Arabidopsis thaliana: one gene and its partners. The protein of the gene in region 1 binds, or shares a complex with, the protein of each later gene. Each region holds a gene or a part of one and is shown in the gene's direction. Other genes may lie near its edges.

Evidence for each region. Proteins that work in one complex are often made in the same cells at the same time.
Region 2: AT3G09180 (region 1) and AT4G09070 share a complex: the UniProt entries of both Arabidopsis thaliana proteins name them as parts of the mediator complex.
Region 3: AT3G09180 (region 1) and MED19A share a complex: the UniProt entries of both Arabidopsis thaliana proteins name them as parts of the mediator complex.

The regions. Positions count from the first base shown.
Region 1 is NC_003074.8:2,817,439-2,821,965, forward strand, and holds AT3G09180 (mediator of RNA polymerase II transcription subunit), read left to right. Parts: upstream 1-1,655; 5' UTR 1,656-1,839; coding exon 1,840-2,113; intron 2,114-2,207; coding exon 2,208-2,373; intron 2,374-2,545; coding exon 2,546-2,996; intron 2,997-3,086; coding exon 3,087-3,146; intron 3,147-3,229; coding exon 3,230-3,298; intron 3,299-3,391; coding exon 3,392-3,435; coding exon of another isoform or gene 3,436-3,454; exon of another isoform or gene 3,455-3,513; coding exon 3,514-3,658; 3' UTR 3,659-3,987; downstream 3,988-4,527. Other genes in the region: AT3G09190 (Concanavalin A-like lectin family protein), read right to left, coding at 4,212-4,527. UniProt on the Arabidopsis thaliana protein: Component of the Mediator complex, a coactivator involved in the regulated transcription of nearly all RNA polymerase II-dependent genes.
Region 2 is NC_003075.7:5,800,339-5,803,917, forward strand, and holds AT4G09070 (TATA-binding related factor (TRF) of subunit 20 of Mediator complex), read left to right. Parts: upstream 1-1,969; coding exon 1,970-1,983; intron 1,984-2,082; coding exon 2,083-2,494; intron 2,495-2,820; coding exon 2,821-3,054; downstream 3,055-3,579. UniProt on the Arabidopsis thaliana protein: Component of the Mediator complex, a coactivator involved in the regulated transcription of nearly all RNA polymerase II-dependent genes.
Region 3 is NC_003076.8:3,952,615-3,958,133, reverse strand, and holds MED19A (mediator of RNA polymerase II transcription subunit 19a-like protein), read left to right. Parts: upstream 1-1,948; 5' UTR 1,949-2,225; intron 2,226-2,790; 5' UTR 2,791-2,848; coding exon 2,849-2,876; intron 2,877-2,998; coding exon 2,999-3,288; intron 3,289-3,522; coding exon 3,523-3,759; intron 3,760-3,948; coding exon 3,949-4,008; intron 4,009-4,168; coding exon 4,169-4,219; 3' UTR 4,220-4,315; intron 4,316-4,757; 3' UTR 4,758-4,994; downstream 4,995-5,519. Other genes in the region: CLE22 (CLAVATA3/ESR-RELATED 22), read right to left, coding at 83-394; AT5G12220 (las1-like family protein), read right to left, coding at 5,120-5,519. UniProt on the Arabidopsis thaliana protein: Component of the Mediator complex, a coactivator involved in the regulated transcription of nearly all RNA polymerase II-dependent genes.

The DNA.
Region 1 (4,527 bases):
ATTTGCTGCAGTTAAGCCCGGTAACAAGTGCAAAATCATCAATGGCAAATCGAATTGGCTTCCCTGCAAACACCCACCACATTTCATACTTCTTATCTGTCACCAACTGCCTAGATAGAATGTAATGTAAGAACATTACAGAAAACTGATGCGTCCCCATTTGCAACAGAAATCCAAACTGCGAACCCTCCAGCTGCTTCAAATGGTTTTGATCTAGAGCAGCCTTGATGATCTCAATCCACCTAAGAGTAAAGTAATTGTTTATCCTCTTTCGGCCCTCAGGTTCAGAACCTAGCCGAAACAAACGCTTTGGCAACTCTACATCCCCCATGGAACAGATACACTGAAATACAAATGTCCACGTATCACTTTTTTGATGCTGCTACTTACACAAATACAAAATATATAAATCTTAGATGTAAATATATGTTATTAACAGACTCAACCAATATAGCCTCAGCTTTCCGTTACTATCAACAACAACAAATGGATTACATAGAAGTTGAGTTAAATATTAAACCTTCATAACACCAATTAGTGGAATATCGGATTAACCAGCAAAGATTCACTAACTAAAGCTACTCAAATCCGAGTTTATGCTATTCAATACTGCAAATAAAACTAAAAATGTCATTAACACATACAACCAATTTGAGTAGCTTCCGTTACTATCAACAAACACAAATGGATTACATTGAAGTAGAGTTAAATCCTAAACCTTCATAACAATTACAAATGAATATCGTATTAACCAAGCAGATTCCCTACCTAAAGCTACTCAAATCCGAGTTTATGCTATTCAAGCTCTTCAACACAAATTAAAAAGATTTTCCCAAAAGCCAAAAAATGGCATTTCATACCTTAATTTGGCTGAATCCCTTCGCCGACACCAATTGCCACAGAAATTCGAGTGTTACAGTGGAGACGACGGAGATATAAACACCTCTACTCCCGTACAACAAAACTCACTCAAGTACTCTCAACGGAATCAAAAACCCTCGATTGAGAAAAGAGCCAACATAAGTGTTGTACGAAACTCGGATGCTTAGATAGGCTCCTCCTCCAATTGCAGAAGATTTATGCAGTCCGATTGCCAGAAATCGAAGCCTCCACAGTCCCCAAATCGAAACCCACAAATTCAATCTTCGTAAACTCTAGAATCGTCACTCGGATTGCACACGCAGTCTGCTCTTCGAAACTTTCCCGGGTGTCGCTTTTTAAAGCCCAGAATTTTCAGATTTTCTTACTGTAACTTCTCTGAATGTTCACCTCTATTTGAATTTTTACAGAGTAATACATAGAAGTTATCGATTGAAAACTCAGAAGAAGAAGAATAAGCGCGTGTGCTCACGCACGGGTTAAGTTTGTCAATATTGCATAAAGTTCAATACATATTGGTTGAAGTGTTAGTTTTGCAATTATAATTTTTTTGTTGGCTATATTTGCAAATTTCCCATTTTTTTACATGTACAAACTAAAAAAAAAAAAATATTAAAGTGAACAAACTGTACATATGGGCTAAAAACTAAAAGTCCCACAAACATTGAGATTACAAAATACATTTTCAGTCCAACATGAGCCATAAAGCATTGCTTAATGGAGTAAAACTCAATTTAACAGAGTGGAATAAATTAAACAAAATAAGACGTGAAGGAGCAGAAGCAAGCATATCAACAAAAACGCCTTTGAAACGCAAACGCTACAAAATTGCGTCTGGCGTTACAGTAGATTGAGATTTGAACGTGAAATTCTCCGAGTCCAGAAACATTCCTCTCCTTCCGTCGTCGTCAAGAAGATCAATTTCATTGAAATCGAAAGAGTGTGCTTGAATCACAGCTTATGCAGACGCTACACCAGTCCCAACTTCTCCAGAATCCGGCCGAGGCGGCGAACAATCAGTCTGAATCGGACGCGCCGCCGAAACAGGTGGCTCAGGCCATGGAACGACTCAATCAAGCGGCTAGGGTTATCGCCGATATCCGCCTCGGCGCTGACCGTATCCTTGAAGCTATGTTCGTGGCTTCGCAACCTCGTCACACAGACATGCCTCTTCAGCTCTTTCTCAGAGAAGACGCCTCCATGCGTCAACATCTTCAGGATCTTCGCTTAATAGGTGCTGAACCAAAACTGAATCATTTTCATTAGTATTGATTGATTCTCTAGATTAGGGCTTTTAAGGATCGATCAATGTTTATTGCTTGGTTCAGGGAAGAAATTGGAAGAATCTGGAGTGTTAACTGAATCACTTAGGTCAAGAAGTAACTCTTGGGGTCTTCACATGCCTTTGGTTTGTCCAGATGGTGCAGTCGTTGCTTATGCTTGGAAAAGACAGCTTGCTGGCCAAGCTGGTGCTTCTGCTGTTGATAGAACCAGGTATCAGATTCGTTGCTAATCATTTTAAAGCATACTTAGGGTTTAGGTTCGAGTCTGCATATTAGGGCTGTTAGTGAAGCTTGGTGGTACCAACTTGGAGTTTCATCAGCTAACCAATTCTACTGAATCTCATGCATTCTCCATTTTCTCGCGTTGTGTATAATGACTGTAGGTTAGCTCTCAAGGCCTTCACGGATCAGAAAAGACGATTCTTCCCTCATATTGATGATGGATTAAAGATGGAACCAAGCTCAAAAAAACATCGTGCCTCCCATTTGCTATTAGAAAATGGAAGAGAGGAGCCGGTTGATTACAAAACATTGCCAGATATACAATCGCGTTTAGAGAAGCTGGTTCCGAGTGTGAAGGTGTCTACTTATGGACGATTGAACTGGCTTAAAAGAGCTAACTCTTTACCTGGGTCAGGTAGTGATGATCCTACAGAAGCATCGAAACCTATTTTCCAGAGTTCTAGCAAGCTGAGATCAGGGTTACAGACTGAAGTTGTCGACAAGATTGCTGTTATTGAGTTATCATTTCCTTCTCTATTCAGAGCTATAGTCTCGTTGAGTCCAGCGGGTTCTGTTGATCCAGATGCAGTTGCTTTCTTCTCCCCAGATGAGGTCACTTCCAACCTCCTTGCATTAAAATATACTGATTCTCATGTGAAATTGTTTAAGTTCTCATGTTTTAGCTTCATCCCTTTCTTACAGGGAGGCAGCTACTTACATGCGAGAGGCTTCTCGGTTTATCATGTTTACAAACACATAACGGTAATAAAGATGCGATTGATATTATATATAGTTTAACAAATTTGATTCATTGGGGACTTGCATTAATTAGATTTTTCTTGCAGGAACATGCTGCTACAGCCTTGCAATATTTCCTCGGCTTTGGTACTGGAACAGCTCTCTACTCTCTTCTGGTAAAGCATTTTACAAGCACACTTCAGTCTCTGGATAACATGAACCTTTTTTGTCTGGAAGTTAATTAACACCTTTCTCTTCTTCTTATGCAGCTATGGATATGCAGTTTTGAATCCGTATTTAGCAAACCTTGCACGTATGCAGACTCTCCGTAATTCTTCTAATACATTTGTTTCCCGTGGACTAACTTTTCATTTCTCTTCTGATGATGCAGTAAATGTGGAAGGCTATTAGCAATGGATAAAAAGTCTGCGTTAATCTTACCTCCTTTACACCGCGCTTACCAAGAATTGCCTCTTGCATTAAACCTGGACGTTTGTGAAGCTTACCACTCCAGTTGCTCTCAAGATGATACCTAGTACTCTAGTGATTAGGGAGGATCAATTAAAAGAAAGGTTAGAAATAAGTTCTAATAACATTTTGTATGGATCTTTAGTATCTGCTCTTCTCCTTGATATACCTCTTGTTTGTTGTTGATGTCCCATGTTGAGGTTTAGATTAACTTTCTTTCTTTCTACTCTCTGGTAACATGTGAATGTTGTCTTCTTTCTAGAGATTTGATCTTTGTTCACGAGATGACTGAACAGAGACCTTTTTTTTTAACTCGGTTCACATTACTCTGTTGCAGTCAGCATCAAAGTGAGAAAAAGACAGTGGGTGTTGATTTTTGCTTCCGATCCAGAAATATAAAACATGTTAAATGCAAGATCAATAAATTAAGTTATTTTGCAAGATCAAATAAGCTTACGGCTTCTTTCATAGAGATTGTACATGTGAAACCTGCAACTAACGAAGCAAATAAAAGAAAACACTAAATAAAGATAACACCAGAGGAAGTGGAAGAAGGTACTACATTTACACTACAACAAGACAACCTTCTTAAACCAAAGCCAAAGCCAAACAAACTTCTCATTACTTCTTGCCATCTTTAACTGCAACGACCACAATGCTCACTGCACATTCCTCTGGAACCACGGCCATTGACCGCCTAACACTGCAAATAGTCCAAAGATACATAGCTGACATTGCCCCTACGGCTCCACATACTGCAGCCAAGACCAGAGCACCAAGCATTCTCCATATACACTCACTATTTTCTCGGCCCTCTTCCATTTCCGTGGAAACGTCCGGCTTCAAACCTTCATTTGGTCCTAATGGCGCTGGTTGCACCCATATCGGATCAAGATGCCATATTTCAAAGCTCCATGAATGGAGAAAATGTGGCTTG
Region 2 (3,579 bases), on another chromosome or scaffold:
AGACGGAAGAGAAGAATTTCAAAAATGAAATCAGAAGTTTGTAGCCGTTACAAAAGTTATTGCATCGATCGATTCGTGCCTACGTGGCATGTTTTAAGTGGCGGAAATATTTGGCTCCTAATGCAATTTTTTGGTTATGGTTTTTGGGATCCGGTTTGGTTTATTTTGTCGGTTTTACTTGTGGAAAACTTTTTTTTTTCTCTGTTCGGTTTGACACAATTCGGTTTTTGTTCGAGTTGGTTTTTTATTTCGGTTTTGTTTTTGTTTAAAAACGTATTTTAAATATCAACAAAAAGTGATTACCTAAAATTACAATTTAATGTCATTATATCAAACAAATAATTATCAACTAAGTAATTATTTTTCCTCTATTTTCAGCTCAATTTTTTTTATTGGTTTATTTTTATTTTTTCATCTTGACTAGTATTAAGCAAAAGCGTATCATTCAATTATATAATTGTATCAATTTCCAATTTATTTCTATATAAATTTTTCATTTTTTGAGTGTACTAGGATAAAAAAAAATTATATCATTGGGTGGAATGAAACCTTAATGTTTCATGACTATGCATAAAAAATGAACGAAAGATGAGAAGAAACATGAATCAAACCTTTATTTTTATTTAGATGATTAGATGAGATATATACATTAGGAATTTTGATTCGTTCAGTTAATTTTGTTCAGTTTCATAAAATTTAAATTTGATTTAAGGTTCAGTTCCAATAATTCTATTTATAAGATTTTAAACTATTAGTATTATTCGAATTTGGATAAGTTCGGTTAGATTCATTCATGTTTTCACCACTCATTTCCTAAGAAAACCTTTTTAAAAACAAGGTCATTTTAAGAAACACATAATTTTACACGAAGTCGTTTTAAATGAGGTAGTTTAAACGAGGTCGTTTTATCTTAGTAAAACAAACAAACTCCTATGCTTTTCTCTATATAATGCAGTGTACGAGTCTTAATTTTTCGTTATACTACGTATTCCCAAGAAGATCATCACCAGAAATCTCTTTCATCGGTAAGTGTTTCTCGCAATCTAATCTTGTATTTTGTTTTTATGGCTCGATGATTATTAAGCCTAAAAGTCTTTACTATGCCTTCAACTCATCTTTTTAAAATGATTTAGATAAGATAAAGATAAAAAGCATCGTTTTATAAACTAAATATACTTAGAAGCAGAATTGAGTTGTTTATCCGAGATGTATGAATTTTATATTTAGATTGTATTCAAGAAGTGATATATTTCATATTTGATTCGTTTAGTTAATCTGTTGTCGATCTACTACTATCACAGAACGTGTGATCCCAAACGGATACTCATAGCAGATCTAATGAATTTCTTTAGTTTTTGTAAAAAAATGTTTCTTATTTTTCAATTAATTTTGGTAAATAATTTAATTATAACATTAATTTCTTAGATTTGTTTCCTTTTTATTTAAAGTCAAAAGTTACTTTATTTTTTTCTTATAAGAATTTATATTTTCTTCCCTTTTATCTTGATAAGGGTGAGTACACTTATGTAATTGTGCACATGCACTAAAATATCTAATTATTCTCTATGTTATAATTATTTATTAAAAAATGAAATTTGTATTATGATTCCAAAGTTGATGCATATGTATTATTTTTGGTCTGTAAATTACTTTTAAAAATAAATTTTCCTTTCCATATAGACCACGTTCTATTTCAAATGAAAGAAATGATTAAAAAAATGAACTCCATTTGAGCATTTAAATGTATTTTCCTTATGAACACTGATTGAAATTCTATCAAAAAGTATTTTTTGATTAAATAATTTTTTGCTTTATTGTAAAGTTTTATCATTTTGTTTTTTGGTAAATTATATATCTGAATACAACTATATTATATAAGATATTATTGTTTGTGTATTATTGTAAATTAATAGAGATCATTTTTTTTTAATTTTGTTGTCAAGTGAAATTTGTTGTACCTCCATTAGCCATGCCCGTCAAATGGTAGGTTTGATGATTACATAAACTAAATAACCATTATTGTAATTTCTTTTATAATACGTTAACCTTTTTTCAAATTTCTTTGGGGGAATACTTTTCCAGGCTTTTGCATTGGCAACCAAATCAGGGATCAACATTTAGCAGCCAAATCCTAAACGAAGTAACACAAAGCATAGAGAGTCTCAATGGCGTCAAAGAGGGAACATGGAAAGCCACTCTCAACTATTACAAACCCATGTTGCAAGATCAGGCGAATCAAGCTGAGTTCCCGCGTGAATTTGTAGGAATTTCGCTTCCGGAGGAGCCAGATAAGTACTATTTCGTCATCAGGTCGCAAAGGATCGTCGTGGAAGCAGATTCTTCAATTCAAATGATCATGGAGAGCCTTCAGTCTTACAAATGCAAACTCTCGTTTTACTTTGAAGGGCTTGAGTATCAACTTGGGGATTTTCGTTTGAGAGTTGGTAAAGTTGTTCCTACTCATGCTGAGACCATTAGAGGCGTAGTCATGGAGGTAACAAATTTTATATCTTTTGAGTACGTTGAGATATATTAATAATCAATGTTAATGATTATCTAACACTCTAGTTAATTCATAATTTGGAGTTTGTAATGTAACTCAGTAACTAAAGGTTATTAGCTATGATTGGTAACACACATAATGACGGTTTCTAATGTGATTAGGCAGAAAATTTGTCAATTAAGAAAATTTGCATAATCTACGGTTTTCCATGCAACAAGTTTTCATTATACGAATTTTTAGTGCTATCAACTTATGCCATTATGCTATTATGCACTACTTTCATTTGAAACCTATAATTATGTGTGTGTACTATTTAGGTGGAGTATCTTCCTATATCATCAATGGGAATGGCAAAAAAATTGATGGAGGAGTTCTTGGAGATATGGCAAGAAGCTATGTCGAAAAGGTCGTTGCCGGGTAAGTTTGTGAACAAAGAACTCAACTTTGAAAAGTTTGGACTTGGAGACAACTACACTCCGCAACATACCGCTGTTGGATATGCTTTCTTCATGGCTAATTTGATGGCAGCAATTCAAGCTGGGAGAGGCTAAAGATAATACAACAAAGACTTTTATGAGTTTTTGTGGTATCATTGATTTTAGAAGTCATTAAGGATTGAAAAACAAATGGTAGTTTTAAAAAGTTGGAAGACCAATTTGTAAACTTGAGATTGGAGCAGATTGTGAATTCAGTTTCTTACCAACTTTTTGGTTTGTTTTATGACTGTGAAAACTTTATGAATCTTTTGACCCTAAACTCAATTACTGGTCACTTGTGTCTATAAAATGCATAAATAAAGCGAAAATGTTGGATTACGATTGGGCTTAGTGTTAGTTATTTGGGTCAGTCATTGAGTTGGGCTTAAGGCCCATAAATGAGAAGAATCCCAAATGCAGAATCAAAACGCAAAGAAGTTTTGGCGGTTGCGATTGCATGTTTTCTTCCAAACAGAGCTTACCGGTAGTAACAAACAATATAGAGAGAAAGAAGTGTGAGAGCTACAAGTTTGAAGAAATCGAGTAGAGAGAGAGACAGATCTAGATTCTTCTTCTTCTTCGTCTTCTTCGTCAACCTCT
Region 3 (5,519 bases), on another chromosome or scaffold:
AAGTAAATAAATATGTTTTTTGTGTTTGCACAAATGAGTTTTATTCAGACAAAAATTCACAAAAACTTGTAAAAGCAAAAATTTATCTATTGTGCAATGGATTAGGACCTGTGAAGACCCTTCTCTTGCCATCTTCAAAAACATCTTCACCACCACCTTCATAATTAGTATATTTTGATCCTCTTGATGACGCAGCATTGGAGTCAAGATCATGAAGCTTTGGATCCAAATTTCCAGATTTCTTCAAGCTTCCATGAGTTGAGTGATGATGTATATTAGGAGAAGACGATGAAGCTTTAGCGTAAAGAAACAGAAACAAAAGAAGAAGAAGGATGATCAAGGCAACTGTAGTGATGTGTTTCCTAGATTTTCTTCTAGAGTAGTAATTTCCCATCTCTTAGGAATCTTCAAGATATGAAGAGTTTCTCTATAAGGTATAGATTATATATTTAGAATCGATTTTTGCAAGTATAAAAGATCTGATCAAGATCTCTTAAATAAATTCTCTCTCAAAGTCTGTAAGAATGAGAAGAGAGGAATGAAAGTGATGGAAGAAAAAGCTATGGGGCTTTTAACCTATGACTTCCTCTAAAAGTTTGTTGCTCTCCCTTTCTTATTCTCCACCACTTTCTACAAATAAAGAGAAGAGAAACTAGATAGAGGTTTGTAAATATATATATCATTAATTTTTAACGAAAGTTTTTTTTGTGTGTTGAATCATTTCCAAAGGTCTTAGCTGGGATTACTAGGTCAAGTGGTAGTAATTAGTGTGGTTAATAATATACTTATAGTGGTTAGTTTTAGAGAGTAATGAGGGTGTGATAATAAAGCATATAGAGGAAGGTAATTATGTGAAGGGGGTCAAAAGTAGAAAGAAATAGAAAAGAGAGAAGAAGGGGCCAAAAAGGGAATTGGAGTGATGATTCTAAGACTTAGCTTTCTTTGGGGAAAATGATGTTGTCTTCACTCCCTTTTTCTTCACCCACATTTACACTCACTCACACACATGAAAAAATCCACTTACCACTTGAATCTTCTTCCTCTCCATTTTATATAAATGTTGTATATCTATATTTGCTTCTCGTTTTTTAGTCTTTCTAAGATTACTTTTTTTTTTTTAATTTTACTTTATTATGAGTTAAGAAAGAGAATAAAGAAAACAGTATCACAAGAACTAAATTACATACATGATACATATATGGATATGATTCTCCAATATGCATCTTCTACCTTCGATAAACGTATTTACAACTTGTGCAACAAATGTTTTTAAGAAATCAAGCTGAAAGTTTATAGAAGAAAAAACAAAGACTTACGTCCAATATTTGTCAAGAAACACCATATGTGATATGTACCTCAATATATCCTCATCAGTCATCACGTTTTTATATATTATATTCCCATTTATTTTACAGCAGACAAATCATCATTTACATAGTAGAGAGCAGGTATACAAACTCAAATCCCCAAAAATACCATTATTCCATTTTGTTCTCGTCAAGCACTTTGTCTCTGATGTTATATCAGCAAATATACACGTATGTATTCATCGTATGTTTCATCTTAAATTGTAGAAGATATTGTTAGGCATGTCTCGATCGGATTAGACCTGTCCGACCAACCCAAAACACTGAAAACTTACATTATTTATGTTTTGATAATTTTCGGTCTTATAATGGTTTTTTAGAATAACAATTCATGTTTTTCACTCAAGTAAATAAAAAATATAGAAAGAGATAACAATCTAAATCGGATATAAATAGTCGTGGATATTTTTGTTTGGATAAGAGTACCACCGGTTAAAGAGAGATTCATTACTCGGTTCGAATACGGTTTAGCTAATGGAAGATCCTTGATTTGTCTGGTTAAGTGGGCCGTGTTGAAGGAGCGCGTGAAGCCCACGCGGAGCCCTTGAATAATAATAAAAAAAGGCTGACTGTAATTTGTTGATTATATTGAGAGAGAAGCCAACGGAAGAAAACAGAGAATAATTCCTCTCTCATTGGTCATCAGACACAAAAGACTCTCAAACCCTAACTAGTCTCGCTTTTTCGCTCTCTCGAACCTTCTTCGATCTCTGTCCTTTCTCGATCACTTGCTAAAATCAAAATTTTAGGCGGGAATTCGATACCCAAGCCCAAGACCCAAACACTTCCCCCCTCACGTTTCGCTGCTTTCGTTAGCTAGCTTTCTCAAACGAGATCTGGGCTTGTCGAAAGAAACGTGTATGTTGATTGTTTCGATTCTTTCTCCTACCAATTGAATCTGAGATTTTGGTTTTGCTATTGGGCTCTGTCTTGTTTCGTTTTCGAATTCCAAATTCCTCAATTTCGAATTTCTCTTCTGCTTGAAGCTTTTTTATCGAGTCTAATCTTCGTTTCTAGTGATTACTTCGCTTGTCTGATTTTTTTTTTGTTAGCTTCATTCCTAAATAGAACAAATTGATGAAACTTTCTTGTTGACTAGATCCAAAATGTATGGACTTGGTATCTAATTTTACTTTTACAAACTTCCGAAAACTTTCTAGGGTTTTGTTTCTGATGCTAGTTTCATTTTTTTTGAGCTTGGAGCAGAAAAGTTGAGAATTGATAGCATCTAATGCTAAATTAGATTTTCTTACTTCTTAGTTTTGGTCACTATGAAATATGAGCTGGTGCTTAGTTATAACTTTTGTATTGTTTGTGCTACAGAATTGTTAGTTTAGATAGTATCGAAGCTGAATTTGCTTTCTGTAGTAGTATTATTTCCTTATCACTCTATGCTTTTTCTGATTTTTGTTTCCTTGTGTAGGATATATATGCAGTGAGCCAGTGATCATGCAAAAGAAATTCAGAGTGCGATAGAGAAGATGGAGCCTGAACGTTTAAAATTTGGAGGTACATTGGTTTCGAATTTGGAGCTTCTTCAGTTCGTGAAGTTATTTTTTTTGTAGCTCGTTGTCCTTTGTTTTCCCCTTTGGCTCACCTTGAGGTCAATGTGTTGTTTGTTTCAAGTGCAGGTCCAAGAGAGTTGTGCGGTGCTGCGGATCTTATATCTCAATTCAAACTAGTGCAACACCATGAATTCTTTTGCAAGAAATCTCTTCCTGTTTCTTTATCAGATTCCCATTATCTTCATAATGTGGTTGGGGACACAGAGATCAGAAAAGGAGAAGGAATGCAATTAGATCAGCTTATTGAGAGCATATCACAGAGCCGGGAGACTAATATTCGCATCCAGCCTTTTGATATAGATGAGCTTCAGGAGTCTTTCCAACTAAATGATATGACTCCTGTTGAATTACCCCCAGTAAGAATCTGATCTTTCTCACTCTCTCTTGGTGTTTTGAGTTTTAAATGTCCTTCTTTTCATAAGAGTAACAGTATTTGCCATTACATTGAACTTAAAAACTGGCTCAGTAATGAATGTCCTATTTCCTGTAACATCAAGTTCTTTGGTTAATTGAGAATCTTTCCCTAGTAATGTGAATTACATCTGGGTGTCCTATGGAGATGATTGACCTTGGTACTATTCTTCTTTCAGGCAGAGAAGGGAGCTCCTACAATTCCGTCTAAGTCAAAAAGTGAGTCGAAAGATAGGGACAGGAAACATAAGAAACACAAGGACAGGGATAAAGACAAAGATAGAGAGCATAAGAAGCACAAGCACAAACATAAAGATAGAAGCAAAGATAAAGATAAAGACAAGGACCGAGACAGAAAGAAGGACAAAAATGGCCACCATGATTCGGGTGATCATTCTAAGAAACATCATGATAAGGTAAAGAACATGTCTGTTTGTTGAAGGTGTCTGTCTTTCCAAAGAAGAATAGCTTAATGGAAAGTTTTGTATTTGTTGCTCTTGAGTTAGGCTGCTTTTTTGACCTGCTTGGCATGAAATTAGCAGATCTAGAGACTGCTCTAGAACATTTTATTGAGTTTTTATGGAGCCTTTTCACTTATATTTCAGAAAAGGAAACACGATGGAGATGAAGATCTTAATGACGTTCAGAGGCACAAAAAAAACAAGGTAATGGTAATGAAGTGGGGCCTCAAATTTTTCTCGTTCTTCATTAACACTCAACATGAAATTTCCACCATAATGTTTTTTTTGCACAAAGGTGCTAGAGAACTAGTAATATGTCTTTGATAAATTGTATTGATTCAGCTCTTGATTGAACCTGTTGCAGCATAAAAGCTCAAAGCTTGATGAGGTGGGTGCAATAAGGGTTGCTGGCTAAAAAAGTTGTAGACATTCCAATTTTGTATTCTGCACTCGAGTAGGTGTCATGGAGACTTTAGAAGCACTTTTCAACTCACTGTAGACAGCTTATTAGGTAAGCATCTGTGTACTGTCCTGTCTCTTTTGTACAATTTTTTCGGTGTTCTTGGTATTCCGGGATCCTTCATAGAACATATACATCTGTTATAGTCCAGATACTATACTTTAGGGGAACTGAACCCATAATATTTTTAGGCAGATACTTGAGTTTTGTGTTGTATTCTTTAAGTTACTGAAATCCAAATAACGCAACATTTGCAAGGGAACATTGTATGTGTCTCTGTGCGACTTCTGTATTGGTATTGGATTCTTTTCTGGTCTTAAGAAAGTTGCCGTGATACATAACTAATGAAAATCGGGTAACCTGTCGAAAGAACATATCAAAGATAGGATGTGTTTCTAAATAGAACAGTCTCAGCTAACACAAATCATTGCTTACATTTTTGTTACTTTCTTATATTTTCAAGTTGTGTTGAACAAAATGATTGGCTTTGTAGGTTAAAAGCCCAAACTGGTGAATTCATTCCTTGAAGAAGAAAGGGGAAATTTGTGAAATGAAGAAGAAGAATTTAGTATCATAATTGATTTGGTGTCAGATTTGTAACATTTTTCTTGGGGTGTTCTATTCCATCTCTTTTCTGTCTATATACTCAATACAACACAAATCGTTACTATTCATGTATAATAATTTACTTACCAATTGATGTTGTTGAAAAAGTAACTGTCAAATCCACTTATTTACTTTTACTTGAGTGTCACAATGTCTATCTGTCTGCGACTATGCCTGTAAAAATTGATCAAATATCTGAACTATTTTCTCAAAAATATGTCGGATTATATGATTACATCTGTCGAAATCTCAAACACAAATTGTAACACTAGAAGCCATCCCCGAGAGTTCTCCATCATTTACTCTTTTCCATTCACCATCTATCATAAGGCAGCTTCTACTTTCCTCTTCATCATTCCACATCAGATTCTCTTCTGCTACAGTTTCAGTTTCCTCATATGCATGTTCTATTTCCATCTCAGCTTCTTCCTCGTATGATTCCAATGTCACATCATTTGATTCAGAATCTCCTGCACTCTTCCTTGCTCGCTTGCATGGCGATTTCTCCAATTGATTTCTATTACACTCAGCTCCTCTCTTCGCATTGTTGTTACCTTGTGCTTGTTTTGAGATGCTCTTAGCATTCTGATTGTCAAGAAGAGGTAAACGTCCAGAAGATCCAATGATCCGAGGCAACATACCAATTGGA